Linked DNA regions of Drosophila melanogaster. The protein of the gene in region 3 interacts with the protein of the main gene of each other region in a pairwise test. Each region holds a gene or a part of one and is shown on either strand. Other genes may lie near its edges. The genes, in order: CG13840, CG34296, mRpS26 and Pis.

Region 1 (5,216 bases), on a different chromosome or scaffold from region 3:
ACACAGCTAGAAAAGTAATGCAACTATTTTCCAACGTTTAATTTTCCCAAGAAAAAGAAGGACTCAGTAAGCTTAGGTTTGTTGGTCTACCGCTAGGTGGCTGAGTAATGAGTATTAAGTAAGTAGTCAAAGCGCTTTAAACCCCAAATCTTTGAACTCATTTTTCCCCAAACATTTTCCTTAAATTCTCCTTTGCTGCCGAATATTACATATATTGTGTGTGGTGGGTGCGGAGTTCTTCCTCACTTCGCCTCCCTAAAAATGGAGTCGAATGGCTCCCACGTCAATTAGGGCTAATTTCATTAGCCGGCAATAACTTGCAGCACTTTCCCCAACCAGAAACTACTGGCCCGACTTTTCGCGACCCTTGCTGGAACTTTACTTTTTGGCTAATTTTGTTGCTGTTTCGTTAACGCCTCGGCGAAGTTGAACGTCGCGTTTATTTGTGCGTCATTGTTGCTCCTTCTGCTGTTTCAGTTAAAAGTTGTTTCAACTGGAGTTACATTTGGCAATTAGCCGCTGCATTTTCTTGCACTTTCGCTGCAGCCCCCTTTTGCATTGCAACCGGACTTCAGCCTCGTTCTGCCCATCGCACTTCAATACATATTTATTAGCCGCATTTGTTGGATTTTAGCTCAATTAAAAAGTTTTACTCGGCTACTTTTCTTCATTTCGGTTTGGGACCTGCCCTGTGACTCCAACTTCAACTTCGACTCCGAATGTGTTGTTTTGTTTGGTAGCTGTTAACTGGGAGTTAGAAACTTGGATTTGGGATCAAGGAGTTGCATGCTGGATGCTTTTGCAGCCACACTGCAGTTGCTGTCGGTGGCCTTTTTTGTCTTCTTGTTTTGCTAATTGCAATTACTTTTTGGGGTTCAGTCACTAGAAATTAAGGCATAAGCTGAATTTGAAATACTCTAGCCGTTAATCAAACTGCATAACATGAAAAATTAATAAATGTATTTAATTCAACTTAAGAACATTCCACCAAAAATATATTTATCGACTACCCTACAGTTTGTACTTTTACTTTACAAATCAAAAAACCCCTTTTGCAAGGGTATAAAACTGGCTTAAGAATTTATTCTTAAGATAGACTCATCCCAGCAGATGATTGCCGTTGGCACTCCAGCCGGGTGCCACGTAGTGGGGGCGCTGCTTGTGCACCACCGTGCGCACCACTGGCACTTTGACCGGATACGGATAATAAACTGGCGAGACCACCGGCTTCTCCACTCGGTAGGGTACCCTGCGCTCAACCACAAAGGGAATGGGCCGCTCCACGGGCACCGGCTTCACCCGTTCGATGGGAATCTTAACCTCTTGCATCTGGGGCACGGCCACCGTTTGGGCCACTGGTATTTTGATGGGCATGGGCTTGGGTATGGCTGCGATCACGGTTCGTGGCACTTGCACCTGGACGTTCTGCTTGAAGGGCACATGCTGCTTCTGATAGTGGGTGATGGGCACACTCTTAGTGATCTCGATGTGCTTGGCCAACGGCAATCCGGCTACCGCTTTACTGCTCTCCGGAGTATGGTGCACACTGGTGGTTATGGCTGGGAGATCTGCAATCTGGCTATCCTTGTGAGAGTACAACATCTGCTGGTCCTGGGCAACTCCCAGGCGCTGGTGATGCCGTTGATCCTGAGGATATTGCAGCGCATGTGGCCGCTTTTGTTGCAGATGTTGTTGCAAGTGTGGCTGTTGCAGCTGTCTGCTTTCAGGTTGCTGATAATGTCGCTGCTCCAGTGGCTGGCTTTGCTCCCGGTTTGGATGATGACTCGATAGGGACTCTTCCTGCTGACGCTTAACTGGATTGGCCGGTGTCTGGAGTTCTTTGAGCCGCGCATAGATACTAGTAATATCCTCCTGCTCCTGGTGCTGCTGCTGCTGATGTTGCTCCACCTCCTGCTCCCGCTGGCGATTCTCCCGGTAATTGGAAATTTGTTCGAAATGGTAATCGCTGGGACCGGGTAGCGATGTGGCAAACTGCACCCGCGGCCGATATGCATAGCTTTCGTAGTGCTGCTCCCCATGATGTGGCTCCACATCGTAGCCAGCGGAATTTGGCTCATAATTTGCCGTATTAATGACAAAATCGATATTGGCGGATGGGTCGCGACGCGGCTCCTCATCCGCGGTGAATGGCGAGTGCAGTTTGCTGTTGTAGTAGAAGGGCACAAAGCCATTGGCCGTGGTGCCAAGGGAGGATTGCGAATGGCGATGGTGCTGTTGATGGGTGGCGGCCAGGAGTTTGTGAGCATAATTTCCATATGTTGCCAAGTCATCGCCGGCTGCAGTGTCAGTGGGGCCATAATAATTTCGCGTATATCCTGTTAATCCCGGCAACGAGTCCACACCCGCATCCTGGTAATGGTGTTTGCTGCCATGTTCCAGCGACAGGCCGAGCGGGTACTCCGCCAGGGATAGGGGCAGTGGGGCATCTATGGCCTCCATTGTCATGGCCAAAGCGAGCCACATTAATGCATAGATCATTAATGAACTGGTGGCAGGTGACCCAAAGCCTTGGCCGGATTTTGGCCGCCCCATAACGTTGGGTGGTTGTGTGTGTCCTGAAATCCTGAACTCCTGTGTCCTATATCCTTTGTTCCAATCCGCCAACGGAGTGCGTGTTTGGATGCAGCTGGCGTGGGTGTTGCTCCGCTTTGAAATGCAAATTTGTGACATCGCGATGCTGTTTTTATAGCACACACACACTCTTCAAATGCTTGGAGCGCTCTACTTGTAATTGGATATCCTCGTTGGCACTTCAAGTTCATTGGCCAATCCACCATGGATTGTGTAAGTGGAAGCCCATGCCCAGGCACTCACTTTCACTCGGCGGCACACACCAACTGTTCCAGATAGTCCCTTTCTGGTTGTTCCTTTCAGATGCAAGTGAGGCGGCGATCCGCTGTCCGCACAATTCGCAATCACAAAATACGCAGCTATACCGCAATTGCTAGCCCGCAATGCACATCGACCTATGCACTGTGGTCTAATAGGGCTCAAAAATTAAAAAAGAAAATCTATTGTGGATGTGATAAAAATGGTAAAAATGAAGTTATTAAATTAAGTAAGTTTTGTTTTGAGTGCATAAATATTGCTTCCTTTTTAAGCTAGCATAATATTTGATAATTTTCAACATAGCTGTAACCACTGTGCACCGGTTGGCTCCCAGCCGCATCGGATTTCACACTGTGTGGCAGCTTGCGGTCAATGTCGCGGCCATTCCGATGTTTGATTGCACAAATGGTGACGTGCGCTTCATGTGCTTGCGGTCCGGTCTTTGCCAAGTGCAATCGCCGGAGATTTGAAACGCGTCTGAGATCTCGGATTGCAGCACTTTCAATTTTCATCTGGATGCATTCGACGACATTTGGTATCGTTGCTCTTGCATAATTTACCAGCCACGCCTTCACTCACTCAAAGCTGACAATGCACTTTGGGTCTAAAGTGATTCAATTTTAAAGAACCTTTGCGGGAATAGCATTCTCAGCGATTTTATAGTGCACTCAGCAAAATAGTTGATATAAGATTATAATATTTCTATATTCAGGTTTGTAGAATTGAAGATACATTTAATATGTGATACATAGATATATTATACCTTAGTTACCATTTTTGTGTTTTCTGCCATTCGTAGTTCGTTTAAAGTATTGTAGTGTTATTTTCCGATTTTAATCTTATATTTGTGATTTTCTCTGCGAGTAGTTGCCTCTGGCGGGAAATCAAGGGAAAGTCGGCGAAAAACGGAGATAGAGCGAGTTCTTTTCGTTGCTAGCCTGGCATCCTTGGATCATTCATCATTCTGCTCTGCATTTAAGTTTGCAAAGTTCACCAGGTTCGCATCGCCACCTTTCTCTATATACATATATATATATATATTTGTATATATATAGACCCACCTTAGCCACGCCCCCTTAGAGCGGCGTTAGCAGCAACGCCCACCGTCACCGCACTTTTGAAATAACAGCGCAAAGTACAAGTAAAGTGTATTTTCACATTGAATGAGGTTAAGCTTCGTTAAATTTTGCGCAGCTTCACTGTACAGTTAAACCTCCCCATCCATATCACCTGGAACGAGAGTGTGTGTGTTATACTTGTTGGATGCAATTTTTTTCGCTTCTTTTTCATTACTTCAAATGCTTTCAAGCCCTGTGAAGCATATTTTAGCAAAGTTCCCATAGAAAAGAAGCCAGCCAGCTAGCCACCCAGCTTAACATGGCCAAAATGTGTAAAGAAAAAAATCTACTAAAAAAAAAAAGAACAGAAAATAAAAAAAAGTGAGTAGAAAAAATCGACAAAACGATGGCAAAGTTAAATGCCTGCATACACATACTTATTAAAGTTCAAAGTTTTCTTTGGCGCGCTCTGCATAAAATCCATCATAAAATTAACAGGCGGAGAGGAGCAGCAGGAGCAGCAGGAGCAGATTTTGCTGTGACACTGAAACTTCATTAAGTCACGTTAAAACGTTAAAATGAGAAAACGGTCGAAGGAAAGGCAAAAATCCAGCAGCCAGCAAAAACAGAAGCCAAGGCAGCCAGCAAATAGCCAAGAAATTCCAGCTATGGCATAGTTGGCAACGTCGCTGGCCTTTGCTTGACCCGCTCGGAGGTGGGTTTTTTTTTTTTTAATGGGGGACTCAGAGGCTTCGGCGGATACGGCGGACTCCGATGTTGTGGGTGACTCGGGGTCGACGGTCATCGTTGCATGCGAATTTAATCAAGTCATGCAATAGAATTTACGGTTCCATTGCCTTTCGGCCGTCGATGCCGATGGTCGTTCCGTCCTCGTTTGTTGGTCCACTCCCCACAAAGATTTGGCCCAAAACTTGGCCTTGGCTGTATAGTTTGGGCCCTAATGCCAAGTGTCGTCCCCCATTGCCCTACCGTCCCCACATCCCACTCATACCTCCTCACCGTACAGTTTATTCAATGTCCTTCGGCTTTATTCCTGGAATTGAGCCGCCTGTTTGTGTTGCTTCTTGAGTTTTTTGTTCAATGCTTGTTTTAAACAATTTGCGGTCCTGGTTTCGCGGGGCAGGGGCTCAAAGTTTTTGAGGCACTTTTATTATTTCGTATTGTGGCACAGGAAAAATTCGTATACGTGATTAAATTCTTCGAATTTGAATTTATAATTTGAAATGCGCATTTTTTTTTTACCCTTTTTCGTTATTGCATTTTTTATGGAGATATTTATATATGCAT
Region 2 (3,808 bases), on a different chromosome or scaffold from region 3:
GTGAACGATGTACACGTTCTGAATAGACTTTTTTCGCTCAGTGTAAGAGGTAGCAGCGCCGTCCGGTTCGATCGGCTACTCCGTAATCCAATTAAAGGAACAATCTACATTTCAATTCAAAACTAATGAAGTGTAGAGAATTCGCAACAAAGGCTGACATGTGTTGATTGTTTCGACGACTGCAGTGCTGGTATTTGAAAGTCGTGGGTTTCTTCTGACTCCATATAGTCCATACAGACACGTAATACCTGGCTTTTTAAAGCCATTACTAACAAGCTTCCCTGTAGAGCACCCAGAGTTCCAGCTGCACAACTTCCGTCCAGCACAAGCACACATTGTGCGTAGTCCAAACAATTCATTGATTGATTGTCGATATGGCGATCAATTAGACAGATTATGGTTTTCATTGATCGCCATCCAGCAGCAGTAGTGACAAACCCAGGGACAGCTGTCAATGGTCACTTGTATCTACTTCTATATGCACAATATATAAACGCCGACTTCGATTTCGATTTCTATTCTCGGCAGCACACCATTTTGATTCTCCTACTGCTACTGGGACTTGTTCTGTGGACCGATTCCTCGCTGGCCGCCCGTCGCCTGAGGAAGAAGCCCAAGGTCTACAACGCTCTCATCACCACCGACGACAACCTGACCTCCAGCCGCGCCTATCCGGTCATCCAGCCCACCATTCACGAGCCGGGCTACGCCCCCTTTGGACCCTACAATCCCTACGGATTCTACAGTCCGCCGATTGTGAGATTCGGCCAACCGATTGTCCCGGGATTGACGCCAAATGAGAGGGTGAGCTTATGGGTTTCATTAAGTTGCTAACACTGATAAACTTAGCGAAATATTTCGCAAGATTAAATTACTGCTAGCTATAATAAGACAATGATTAATTTAATAATAGGTATCATAAAAAGCTCACTCTAGAAATCTCTGACTAGAGCAATGAACCGCACTCAAAAAAGAAATATAGTAGTTTAAACTATTGAAACCTTAATATTACAGCTCCCTTACCCTCTGCCATCTGCCGCCCAGTATCCCGCTGGCTATGCTCCATATGAACCCCAACAACCGGTGGAGGCGCCAGTGGAGCAGCAGCCGCAGTCGGCGTCGCCACCCGGAACCGTGGAGCGCCAGGAGATGCCCAAGGAGCAGATGCCAGTGCCGTTGAATCAGCAGGGATTGCCGCCCGTGCTGATACCACTGCCCTCCCAGTTCAGAGGCCAACCCATGCACCTGCCACCGTATCCTTACAGCCAGTATCCAGTGATCTATGACCAAGCGGGCTTCATAAGGCAGAACTACTTGCCGCCGTACGACTACTATCCCAGCCAGGGTTATCCCCTGCGGGCAGCCACTTTGCCGCGCGCGGAGCAGGAACAGCCACTGAATCCCGTCCAGAGTCCACCTTCGCCACAGCCACTTCCCCTGGAGAATCTGGAGCCGGCGCAGCCCAGTTTCGAGGACATTCGCAACGGTTCGGAGAGCAAAAACAGCGCGGTGCCGGATGTTCCACCTCCGCCAATACCCTCCGGACCCAAGCGTCCACGGCCCGCGGAACCGGAACCGGAACCGGAAGCGGAACGCAAACCGGAAACGGACAACTGATTGCGGGCTGACCAAAATTCCACACACGTATTTATTACCATTTCGCTTAGGCATAATATCGATTCGATTGTACAATGTCGCCTTAACCCGTAAGCTAAAGTAAGAGTTCATTCAGAGATAACGAATAAAAAACATAAAATCGCACTGGCGGTGATTGAACTTGGATGGATGTTCCCCAGTTCCCCAGGGAAACCAGGGGACGATTTCGCTTTCGTCGGGGAATTGGGAGCCGTTTATCTCAGCTCTGATGGGACTATAAAGGCAGTCGAGTTGCCGGGAAAAGTTACAGTTAACATCGAAAGGGGAACTCAGAATGAAGCTGGCCCTGCTCCTGATCCTCTGCTGTTGCCTCATCGGAATGGGTGAGCTACAACTTTGGTCTTTGGATACCCAATGAATAACAATATCCAATATGCAGCGATTGGTGACTCGGTTTTGGTGACCAAGCCGCCGTTCATTCGCAGTCGCTATAGCTTGCGTTGGAGGAAGACAACCACTGTGGCGCCTGAAGTGGTCACTGGATCCAGTGGATCAACCGTTAACACGGTCACCACCACCGACCATCCCAAGCTGGCCACTTCCACCGCCAGTTCGGATTACGACTATTACGGAAATGGGGAGACGGAGAATGTGGTGCACAAGTAATAGTCATATTCCAGCCATATGACTATATATTAACACTTGATATAATCAGAGCGACTTTAATGTCATAACAATGTAAGAGAAGGCCATTTAATAAATAAACTGTATGTCAAATCTCTAGAAATCAATAAGAAATCCAATAAGAAATCTAAATTCAAATTACGCGGCATTAGACTTTATAACAGTTATGTTGCTAGCAGACGTTGTCAAAACAAGTTGGCAGTTTTTACAGCTCCATGTTAACTCAATGTTAGCTAACATACGACACAAGTCAGCTGTTCCGCGCCGACAGCAACAGCAACAAAAACAGCAGCTAAGAACAAACGAGTTTTGGATCGAAAATGTTGTTAACAATTAAATGCGCTCAGAATGTGATTAAGCCGAACTGCCAGAAAGTGGCCAATCTGCTTGCCAGCAGCCGCAGAGCTGGTTTATTCCCCACAACTGCAACAACAGCAACGAGTAGAAGGTATTCAAAAGGTGGAATGTGCGGAAGGGGAGGGAGGGGCAAAAATACCAAACTTAAATCTGAGCTTTATTTTTCGCGCAGCCTGTCGCAAATCTCAGTTCTGTATTCGCCAGCAGCGAGAGAAGCAGCACGGGCAGCAACTGGTGGCAGTGCGAATCTCCGGAGAATCCACAACACCCCAACCACAGAAGCAACAGCAACCGCAATCACAGCGAAAAAGCGCAAAATGGTGGTAAGTACGAGCCGAAAGTGAGTTTGAGATCAAGGTGAACGGAGTCTCAGCGAAATCGAGTGGTTCCCTTATCGCCTCCAACTGAAATCAATCGACCACCCAAGGACAGGTTTGGACTTTCGGAAAGTGCTTTATGCCCTAACAAATAGAATCACTGTGATTTTGGCCAGAAATGGAGGTTTTTCGCTCACAAATTATTTTGTATATATATCGTATGAATCAATAACACTCACATACTTGTTGCTCGCTGCCCTTTAGGTACGACTAAACGAACAGGAACGCGCCGAGAAGCTGCAGCCCCTCCTGGACGCCGGCTGGACTTTGGTGGAGGGGCGCGACGCCATCTTCAAGCAGTTCGTGCTGAAGGACTTCAACCAGGCCTTCAGCTTCATGACGGGCGTGGCATTGCTGGCCGAGAAGATCAACCACCATCCCGAGTGGTTCAACTGCTACAACAAGGTGGACGTGACCCTGTCCACGCACGACGTGGGCGGTCTCAGTTCGCAGGACATTCGCATGGCCACGCACTTGGAGACCACGGCCAATTTGTTGAAATAAACGCATTGTTATACTAGTTGCTAAATATCTATAATCTTCGGTGTCCAATAAATACTCAGCTTAGCATCGATTTGCTAAAGATTTGGTAGTCGGCTTGTTCCAGGACATCTGGCGAGATCTCGTCCTTGACGTAGCCCAGTTGCTTGAAGAAGGAAATGGAGGCTTCGTTGTTGTTGAGAACGGTCAGCATGACCTTTTCCAGATGCCACAGGCGAGCGCAGTCCTCCAAAGTGCTCATGATGAACTTTCCCAGGCCTTTTCTACGATACTCTGCAGCCACTTGCATTTCG
Region 3 (4,494 bases):
GTTTGCCAGAAGCTCTTATCTGCGAGAACGAAATGTAATGGATTCCCTTGCGTGTCAGATTGTCATCATTTGCCTGAGATCATCAGAAGGGAGTCGTAAATATAGTTTGTCAATCTTTCGCTTGGCTGGTCGCTCTGATGGCAGGCTAAGATTGTTAAAAAAAAAAAACACTCATGACATGACCAGGAAATATACTTCAAGTAAAGGGATTTAGCTTAAGTGCTGCAATTTTCTTAGTTTTTTAGAATTCAGAAAAGGGTTTTTTTATTACTAATTTGCTAGTTATTGTTCTACTGGTTACATGGAGTTATACTCTTAAACATTATTAAAATTTGAAAAGATTTCATGCGTTGCATATATTTGATTACTTTGAAACAAATTTTTTTGCGCTAGTCTTTATAAGTTTTTTTTTTTTTTTGAATTTCACGTTTCGCTTTTGTTTTCCTCTTAATTAAGTGCAAAGCCGCACTGCGACAGTTTGTGACAAATTTGTTGTTGTTTTTTCTCTTCAACTTGCCTTTCAACTTGCAACACGGGCAAGAAGGAGAACTGTAATTTGGTTTAATTGCCTCACAACATTTGCTAATTAGGTTTTACAGTTGGGGGGAACTCTTATCAGAATTTGCGAATGTTCTCCAAGCGCGGAAAAAGTTTGCATATTTAAGTTGAAGTCAGCGCCCATTCCCCAGATTTCCCCCTTTTAGCCAACACCTGCTGAGCTGCCGTGACTGAAAGTCATTTAAACTGTTTTACTTGCTGATGTTGTTGCTGCTGCTGGCATAATTATTTTCCTACACATTTTTGTGTTTAGATTTTCAAAGACCTCAGGTTGGAGATGGGCAAATAAATTAGCAAGCAGATTTTGCACTTGCTCAGGCGTTCAAGGCAAGACTTTTGACTTCTGCGTCGCGTGGTGCAGTGCCCCGAAGTTGCAACTCTTTTTCGGAATTTTTAATGAGCGTTGTTGATAAGCCAAACGAGGTTATGTTGGTGGGAAAATAAGTTGTGTAGCGGGAATTTACTGGCTTAAATAAGTTAAGCTCACAATTTGATAGGTAATTTCAAACTATCACAGAAGCTAACCTAAATAGTTGGGAATATTAAGTATTTATATTGAAATAAAGGGAATTAGATTAGTACATTGTCGTTATCATCCAACAACTTTGCATTCTTTCTGTATTAATCTTGTTTAAATCACGTTTTTAGATATAAAATCTTATCTTAAATGCTGGAGAATGTGAAAGTAAACAGATTGAAAAAGTTGCATAAGATAAACATTCCAACGATTAGAGAGCAGTAAACTTTTAATCGTACAGTTAAGGTACACTAATTAAATTATAAGAAAAGAAGATGTGGCATTTTAAGGCACTAAGTTTTAAAAAGGAAAGTCTACATTACCCATTTTAGTTATTTAATTAAAAGAGAACAATAGAACCCCTGTTTCGTGCAGTTCAAGCAATTGAACAAATTCGATATGCAAAATTGATCGCCTTATAAGAATTTCCAGCTACGAAGCGATCCAATTCGATTCGATTCGATTCTGTGCGTGGTAAGCGGTTGGGATACATGAGACACACATATGAGACAATATTTACAGTCCAACCAGTGCGAATTGCCATTCCAATCAGAGGTAAACAAAAATCAAAAGCCAATGTGAAAAAAAATGCCAACAAACCTGTACGAGTTGTTCGCTGCCGCTGCGCTGCTGAAGCTCTGCTCCCGCCGACGTCTGCGTCGAGAACTTCGGCTTTAAAGCTCTCAGATGGAGTTTTTGTTGTTGTTCTTGCTGCTGCTGCCTTTTTGCATGTGCAAATCGAAAGAGAGCGAGAGAGAGAGGGAGCTATGGAGCTGTGGAGCCCACCAATACTCGGGCTTTTTGGACAGGTAAGCGAAACACGTCGCAAAGAGCAGATGAATAAGAAGAAGACGCAGTAATGAATGATCGTCGCTTTAACTTTTCGCTTGCATCGGTATGCGTGTGTGCATTTCTGGGAGTTAACTTTTAACACTTTTAGCCTTGGCAAGAGATATATACAATATGCACTTTCCACACTGCTTCTAACTGACTTAGCTTTTCAATAACGCACACTATTTTTTTAAACACGAACACACACACACTTTCAAGGCGCGCCGGCTGCGCAAGCCACTTTTGTTTTAAGTTAGCCCACGTACAAGAGGCGAAACAGCGAAGTTCCGTAGCTCGGATTTTAATGCGGCCAGCGCGGCGATATATCGTCGACTGAGTGAGCAGTTACTTTTCGTACCTTCCCGTCAAGTTCACCTGGCCAAAAGCTTTTAAGCCCGAGCTGAGCGCAGCGCAATTGTGAGAAACGCACTAGTGCGTTGGAAGTTTGGCTATTTTCACAACAGATCTGTCTGGACTTCAAAGCTTGTATCTTTGGACAAATAAAAAACATTCATAACCTGCGCAATTTAATTGCAAAAACTTGTTAGCAACGCAAAATTAAGCTGTACCTAAAAATATATCTATGTAGCTGAGTATATAATTATATTTTAATATGAATATGTACGACAATAAATTTAGTAAGTTGACAACCAAATTACTATTGCCTTTCTATCTGAATTTGATTTGTTAAGATTGATTTATTCCTTGATTCTTCGATTTTCCATATTGGTCATCACTGACGGAACCAGCAATCGAACTGCGCGGAACCAGTTCACCGACAACAGAGTTGCACAACAGTTCAGCAGCGGCAAAGTAAAAATTACATTTTGTTAATTAAACTGCTTTTATAATGCTGCGAGCGGGATGCCAGCTGCTGACGCAGTCCACCCTGCCCACCGGGAAGACGGTCGGAAATAGTTTCGCCCTCGAGTTCGTCCGCTGGCGCAGGAAACCGCGATGGCTGCCGGTGGCCAAGAGCAAGATGTTCCGCGTGCCTGAACGCAAGAAGCAGTCGGAGGAGGAGCGCACGGAGCTCATGAGGCTACACAACCAGTACAAGTGCGTGCACCAGCGCCAGATTCTGTCTCTGGTCAAAGATAATTTGTAATCGGTTTCAAAAGACGTTATACAAAACAATCTACGCCTTGATTTCAGAACGCAGCTTCGCTCAGTGCGTCAGTTTCTAAGGGAGGAAGTCGTCCGCCACGAGGAAACATCCACAGCAGATCACATCGTGCTCACTCCCGAGCAGGAGGAGGCCGAGTTCCAGAAATGCCTGGATGCCAATGCTGCCTGGAACGCTGCCATAGCCAAGGAGCGTGATCAGCGATTGGCCAAGAAGCGTGAGGAAAAGGTGGCCTATATTCAGGAGCGATTGGAGGCACAACAGCTGCGCGAGGAGGAGCGCAAGGAGCAGGCCAACCAGCGGGTGCTGCTCGAGATTGAGCGTTCCAAGAACTATATCACTAGGGAAAACTTGGATGCAGCCATTGAGACAGCGTTGGCCAATCCCGTGGACCACAATTTCGCCATCGATATGGCCGGTAATCTTTACCACGGACGAAGCACCTCTCAGCTCCCGGACGCCACTCCCGAACCCAACCAGCAAGTTTTGAGTAATTAATTAATGCAGTGTCTTAGTTTGTTGTTACATTAAAATGCTTTTTATAGGTTTCTAACCAAAGTTGAAAGTCCGTGTTTTTTTTTATTTTTCTGCACAATAAACAACACACTTAAGTATATTTGATTTGCGCAAAAGAATAGGAATTGGATAACCTAGCTATTGTAAAGCGATTTGCTAGAACTAGAATACTTTTCAAATTTTAAGACCGTATTTGAAATTATAATAATCACTTAATTTGAACATATAATATATCAACAATCCATTAACCTAAAAATTAATCTTGGGTCATTGCATTAAGTATTGATGGCTTAATTTACGTTACATATCCCCAAGTTCCAAGCCCATCTTTCTTGGAGTCTCTTTTATGTTCCATATTCGAGTACAATTGTTAATAACCTTTTGAAAAGCATTTGTATTATAAAAATTTCTATATTTAACTTTTATATACGGCATTTAGAATAGGAATAACTTAAGCTTAGGCGCAGCCTATTTACTATATTACATATCTACCATGGGGAAGTGGGTGCTACGTGCCCGGTACTGGATTCGTTCGCTTGGATGCCGCATCCTGCTGCTGGAAAAGGTGCACCCAATCTGGAGTGGCCTTTAGTTTGGCTTGAATGGGTCCCAAGTTGATCATGTTTCCACTACGTTGCTCGCGATTGGCGGTTACAGACATGAGTTCCTGCAGAAAACCCGGATCGAGACCCATATCCAAGTCAAAGCGTGTGTCCCCCAATTGGAGTTTAACGCGACCGGATTTGTACCTCAGAATCTTGCCGATCTGCCCTTCTTCCAGCTGCCGTAGTACACTGCCCTTGGGTCCGTTTGAGCATTTGTCTGCAGGACTTGCTGGTTCCGATTCACTGGTGGCCTGATGATCTCCTTTAGACGGTTCCGGATCTTCGGAATCGTCGCCCACACATGGCAACACATCTGGCAGTTGCATGAGAAAGATCTGCGC
Region 4 (5,848 bases), on a different chromosome or scaffold from region 3:
CTAACTTAATTGAGAAATTGCTAAGAAACAAAAAACAGAAGTTGCTTGACAAAGGTAAAATAAACAAATTAAATGACCAAAATATTGCATTACTATTAATAGGGGGCTTCATAGAACATCTGTTGGATTGATTAGAAACAAGTTGGTGGTTTGTTAGTCATCTTTATCTTCGCACTATCATGCGCATTCCTCTTCATTTATTGTACAAATCACAAATCCTATTACATTTCATTGCGCTTCGCACCTTCTGTTTATTGCTGCATTCACCTGGTCATTCGTTTGTTAATTTAATTCAATTTTTATGCGTGTAGGCACGTTCAAAGGTTAGTTGGTAGACTTGGTTACACTTAAGCGATAGTTGCATGTGTCATTCTCATTCAGTGGTAATGATCCAGTAGTAAATAATGTACAGTACGATCTTAGGTCTAAAATCTAGTAGCTTCGGGCCAGTTCTGCATGCATCACCGCCAGCAGCTGCCTTTCCATGTCGCTCAGCGATCCAAATTCGGCTCCAAAGTCGCGCAGCAGGTGCTTTAGATCGCACATTTTACGCTCCACCCAGGCGCACGTAATCTCCGCCAGCGCATACTGCTGCTGTTCGGGCACAAATGCTCCCGGACGCTCCGCGGATCCACCGTCGTCCGCCGAACAGGGGAGCGACTCGAACTGCGCCAGGTTGTAGTAGTACTCGATCAGCTTGATGTGGGCGGGTGACTGGCGTGCGGGAGGCAGGTTCAAATGGACTAGGAGCAGCAGACGCAGCACCTCAACGCGCCGCAATAGTTCACCGTACATGCGAGCACCGCGTCGCTCGTAAACATTGTCCACAATGTCGTCGTAATGCTGCAGTGCACTGCGAAAATCGCCGCGCTGGCCACTCGTTTCGGCGCTGATTTCCAGGTCATGGATCTGATGGGTGGGCGAGGCAAAGCTGCTGGTGCTGTCCAGCTGCCGCTGCAGCTGCTTCAACTCGCGCAGAATGGCCGCCTTGAAGACGCAACCGTCCACCGCTCGATCCGCCGCACGGTGATAGCAGTGCACCGCTCCCTCCCGAAATCCCGAGTGGCGGGTGCGCAGATGCAGTCGCCCGGACTCGTTGTGCGCCGCTAGGAAGGATCTAGCTGCCCGCAGATAGGCCTCCGATTCGCGCTGCGGTGCGCCGCCGTAGGACTCGCACTTGGCATAGCCAATGTGGCACATGGCCGCATACTGCTGTATGCCCGACTCCTCGAAGCTGTAGGCCAGTCGCTGGAAGTCCGCCTGCACATCGACCACGCTGGGCGCAAAGCGTCTGGGAATTAGAGAAACAGTGGAGTATTGAGATTGTATTCCGTGATTCGAGGGCTTCTAATACACCCGTATTTCTAAACATAGTTTGAAGATGGAGGAAAAGCGATAAATTGGGCAATGACTTGCTAATCAAACGCAATGATCTGCAAGGTATCTGATTGCCCATACTTGGGCCGTAGCTACTCACTTGAAGAAGCCGGCCCGCTCGAACTTCTTGATCTTGCTGGAGGCCCTTAGATATTGCTCGATCAGGTTTTTGGGGTACTGATACTGCTCCAGTTGGTGGTGCTCATGGCCCGGAGCCGTCGATGGCGCGCCGCTGGAGGATCCGCCGCCGCCCAGACTGCCGCCGCGGAGTTTATCCATGCTACAGCATGTGGTTCTCCGCGCAGGTTACTTCGGGTCGCGCTACTTGTGCATTATATTTTCGCCTGTATTGTGTTTTTATTATTATTTGTGAAAACTTTATCGCGGGCGGTGTGACCATGCCATGTCCCGCTGAGGAATATACTAGCTTAGAAGCGGTATGCAAAGATCCATTTACACTGCTCAACGGCAGCGAAAATGTATCAAAACGGCACGCAAATCGCTGTCAAAACTCATTTAACAAGCAACTACACTAGTTGCCCGGTTTTGGTAGCTCATGTTAATAATCTAGTGACCTTTAATTTGTATTTGATACATTTAAAATGATATACTAATTACTAAATTTCTATTGGAAGAGAAAAATAGAAACTAGAAACAGATGTGTGTCAGTGGAAACCATCTGAAATCTTGTTGGCCAGTATAGTTCGGTATTTTCTCTCAAGTCTTTGTTTGTTTTTTCCAAAGGTCACGCTGCGGTCACACCAGATACAGCAAATTCTGTTTCCACTGTTTTTTCTGCAGCACTTTTGGCATTTAATTGGATAAAAACAAGCCGCAAAGCTAGAAGATCGCAAAATAAACGAAAAACCAAAGTGGCGAAACAAAATGACAATTGCCGAGCACGATAACGTCTTCATCTTTGTGCCAAATCTGATCGGTGAGTGGCTGTTTGTAGGTTTTATTCCGTGCTCCAGCTAGGTAAACAAATCGCATGTTCGATTTATGCGGCGCAATAATAGCGATTCTAGTGTTCCCTAATTGGATTAATAGGGGCTGTTTGGCAGCTAGTGCAATGCGAAGCGCAAGTTCAGCGATAAGAGCCGCTTCGTCCAACCCAATTGAGTCACCTCCAATGATTCTATACGTATGATGCACGCATATGTGCTGATTTATATTGATCTTTTCCAGGCTACGCCCGCATCGTTCTGGCCCTGATCGCCTTCTGGTTCATGTCCACCAACTATGTGATCTCCGGCTGGTGTTATGTAACCTCCGCCCTCCTGGACGCCGTCGATGGACAAGCAGCCCGAGCCTTTAACCAAAGTAAGCATTAACCATGCGATCGCCCTTGATATCGAAATGCCAGCTCATGCCAGCTATATGTCTGTATTTGATTTGTGCGCGCACTTTGGCCGCTAGCGCATTGCAAACACCTGTCTCCTCCGTACTGGTTATCTGCCGATATTGTGGAATTGTAGGCACGCCCTAAAGAGCCCGATATGGTCACGGCTATCCAGCCAATCGATGGATGACGTGGGGCTGAAGAATAGATAGAAAGCATGGCTAATATTGCCTTGGAACTATGCAATGTAGTTAGCAATATAGGAGGAAAAACATTAGGATAGAAGCCTTCTAAGAAACAAATTGCAGATACCATGCAATGTTTATGATATAGTAGTGTAGCAAACTGAAAGGTATGATCTTGCACTTGGATTTGTTGTATGCTAGCAGGATGATTTAGAGTCTTAACGAAAGGGTACTCCAACCAAAATATGTATATCAAAATATTAGTAATTATCATATGGTACTATGGAATCTTTACTAAATACTCGATTACCTCACAGGCACTCGCTTTGGCGCCATGCTAGACCAGTTGACCGATCGCTGCGGCACCACCGGCCTACTGGTCACCCTGGCCTACTTCTATCCCCGGTACATGTTCTGGTTCCAGCTGTCCATCGCCATCGACGTGGCCTGTCACTGGCTCTTCATGCAGACGTAAGTGGGGCAGGGGAAAGAGCAAGATGCTGGACGTCTGGACTGTCAAGGAATGGAAGGAAACTAATGACTCGTGGCTTTGTCTTTTTGCAGGAGCGTTGTGGTCGGACGCAGCTCGCACAAGGTGAATGACAACTTCATAATGCGATTGTATTACCAGAAGGACATACTCACATTCATGTGCTGCGTCAATGAGCTGTTTTACGTGTGCTTGTACCTCTTGCATTTCACCTACGGCCCGCTGAGTGAGTATACGCACACGCACATGCTTTGCATTTCAGCTGGCGAAACGTATCTAATCCGTTGATGGACTTCAATTGCAGTATTCGGCGCATCGCTCTTCAAGATACTCGCCTTCCTCACGGGTCCCTTTGCCGTGCTCAAGGCCCTGATCTCGGTGATGCACGCCTACGTGGCGGGCATCGATCTGGCGGCCGTGGATGTACGCGAGCGGCAGGAGCGGCGCCAGAAGTCGGAGCCGGTGAGCGGCAAGAAAGTGGAGTGAAAATGGGATGCGATCCGGGATCAATCTTCCAGCGACAGTTCTATCAACAGAAAGTACTAAATGAAACAACTCTTGATTCCAAGCTAAAAAAACAGAATTTTGAAGACGAATTGCGATCAGATGAAATATGGGCATTAGGCAACCAAATAGGCCGTAGTAGGAATTTAATTTATTTTTAATGCGCTATTGCAATGATTGTTGATTTTATTTGATATATTTTAGTTAGACGGGTGGTGAAATCACCCGACAATTTGTATTTAATAGATTTTTGAATTGAAATTTAAGCGATTCGTTCCAGTCAGTAGCTGTTGCATATTTATTTTGCCTTTAGTTAGCGTAGTTTACACGCTATATATGTATATATATGCCAATGCGTAAATGCAGGCCGATATACTATGAATGAGTGTCTATTTCCAGGATTTATCTCACTGTGCACGTTTTGGGTTTGACTAACCACCTTGTCCCAGCAACTCTCTCAATGTAACTAATGTATTTCTAATCGTAAGTTAAAGAATGTAATTGGAGACCTGCATGAAATATATACGACAAATGGATGTTAGATGTATTTGAAACATTAACATATATGTACCATACATGCCAGGCCTGGCAGACTTAGTCAAAATTGAAAAGTGAAAATAAATATATGTGGTTCTATGCGCTAAATTTTAGTTTAACCTTTTGGGCCATCGATTTTTGAAATTTGCGCCACACAAAATTTATCGTTAGACATCAAAATTATCGTTGGCACATCCCTGGCTGGCCGCTCAGCTGCGCCGCCTGTGCAGCCCTGATTTTTACACAACATAAACATTCGATTTTGGAGGAGCTCTTTTTTCGAGAGAATACCAGGTCGTTGGACACGGGAGATGCTCTGATTAGGGGCGCATGTGGAGCAGCCAACGCCGGAATCGCCGACATGAAAATCCTCTCCCGTCTGGGTCGCCTGATGCGCTACACGGTGGCCTACGCGGCAATCACACACTGCACCTTCGAGTACATTGGCGATTTCGTCCTGGTAAGGCGTCTAGGATGAAGTTCCTGGGCGGGTATACTTGCCCAACATGTGCCAGCATCACATAGTTCGTGTGAATGCATTAAGGTACTCTCCACTTGTTTTTCCACCTTGTGTAACTTCCACTTGATATCCTTCTTTTGCGGAAAAGTACGTACACTCACATTAATGCAACCATTTCCAGTGCAAAGGACCCTCCATGGAGCCCACCCTGCACTCGGACAACGTTCTTCTCACCGAGCGCTTGTCGAAACACTGGCGAACCTACCAGCCCGGCGACATAGTCATCGCCATATCGCCCATCAAAGCCGATCAGTTCATTTGCAAGCGTATCGTGGCCGTTTCCGGTGATCAGGTGCTAATCCAGAAGCCCATTCCCATTGAGGCGGAGTTTAGTGGTAATTCGGATGACAAGAAGAAGCCCGTGATGGTCAAGGACTATGTGCCGCGCGGACACGTTTGGATTGAGGGTGACAACAAGGGAAACAGCTCGGATTCCCGCTACTACGGACCCATTCCGGTGGGCCTCATCCGGAGCCGCGTGCTCTGCCGCATCTGGCCGATATCCGAGGCCACGGGTCTATAGATGGCATTCGTACAACAAAGAGTTTAAAATCAACTTGACCCAATAAATGGCCTATGTTTCGTTTGGAAATTATAGTACATCAAACCACAACTTTTTAGAATCATTACGTATGCGAGTTTCGTCTCATTTGTGCGACTTCTGGTTTTTGCATATCATTGAAAATAAGTTGAAAAAAACAGGAGAGAATAATAATTTCTTTTCATTTTTGTTTTTAATAAACATATTTTTCAAAGTATGAAGCTTACATCCTTAATCCTTATTGGCTTACCTTCTAAGGAAGTATTTACCATGTTTGGGCGTCATATTCAAAATAATGCCATATTTTAAATTATTGGCGTTTCTAAAAATGGTATCAAAAGAAAAGCTTTTG

The links.
Region 1: the proteins of mRpS26 (region 3) and CG13840 interact in a two-hybrid assay, tested with the Drosophila melanogaster proteins (one large-scale study listed by BioGRID).
Region 2: the proteins of mRpS26 (region 3) and CG34296 interact in a two-hybrid assay, tested with the Drosophila melanogaster proteins (one large-scale study listed by BioGRID).
Region 4: the proteins of mRpS26 (region 3) and Pis interact in a two-hybrid assay, tested with the Drosophila melanogaster proteins (one large-scale study listed by BioGRID).

Annotation. Positions count from the first base shown.
Region 1 is NT_033777.3:22,813,539-22,818,754, forward strand, and holds CG13840 (uncharacterized protein), read right to left. Parts: upstream 2,641-5,216; 5' UTR 2,500-2,640; coding exon 1,099-2,499; 3' UTR 945-1,098; downstream 1-944.
Region 2 is NT_033777.3:29,720,629-29,724,436, forward strand, and holds CG34296 (uncharacterized protein), read left to right. Parts: upstream 1-1,909; 5' UTR 1,910-1,930; coding exon 1,931-1,979; intron 1,980-2,035; coding exon 2,036-2,262; 3' UTR 2,263-2,385; downstream 2,386-3,808. Other genes in the region: CG15506 (uncharacterized protein), read left to right, coding at 529-804, 1,015-1,617; Pcd (pterin-4a-carbinolamine dehydratase), read left to right, coding at 2,601-2,728, 2,810-2,960, 3,219-3,518; Naa40 (N(alpha)-acetyltransferase 40), read right to left, coding at 3,574-3,808.
Region 3 is NT_037436.4:18,103,906-18,108,399, forward strand, and holds mRpS26 (mitochondrial ribosomal protein S26), read left to right. Parts: upstream 1-2,673; 5' UTR 2,674-2,756; coding exon 2,757-2,965; intron 2,966-3,061; coding exon 3,062-3,530; 3' UTR 3,531-3,594; downstream 3,595-4,494. Other genes in the region: Polr3D (RNA polymerase III subunit D), read right to left, coding at 4,057-4,494.
Region 4 is NC_004354.4:15,700,036-15,705,883, reverse strand, and holds Pis (phosphatidylinositol synthase), read left to right. Parts: upstream 1-2,113; 5' UTR 2,114-2,262; coding exon 2,263-2,314; intron 2,315-2,565; coding exon 2,566-2,700; intron 2,701-2,796; coding exon of another isoform or gene 2,797-2,855; exon of another isoform or gene 2,856-3,071; intron 3,072-3,221; coding exon 3,222-3,375; intron 3,376-3,468; coding exon 3,469-3,620; intron 3,621-3,698; coding exon 3,699-3,880; 3' UTR 3,881-4,433; downstream 4,434-5,848. Other genes in the region: Hap40 (Huntingtin-associated protein 40 kDa), read right to left, coding at 433-1,291, 1,478-1,656; CG9240 (uncharacterized protein), read left to right, coding at 4,797-4,895, 5,077-5,478. UniProt on the Drosophila melanogaster protein: Catalyzes the biosynthesis of phosphatidylinositol (PtdIns) as well as PtdIns:inositol exchange reaction. May thus act to reduce an excessive cellular PtdIns content.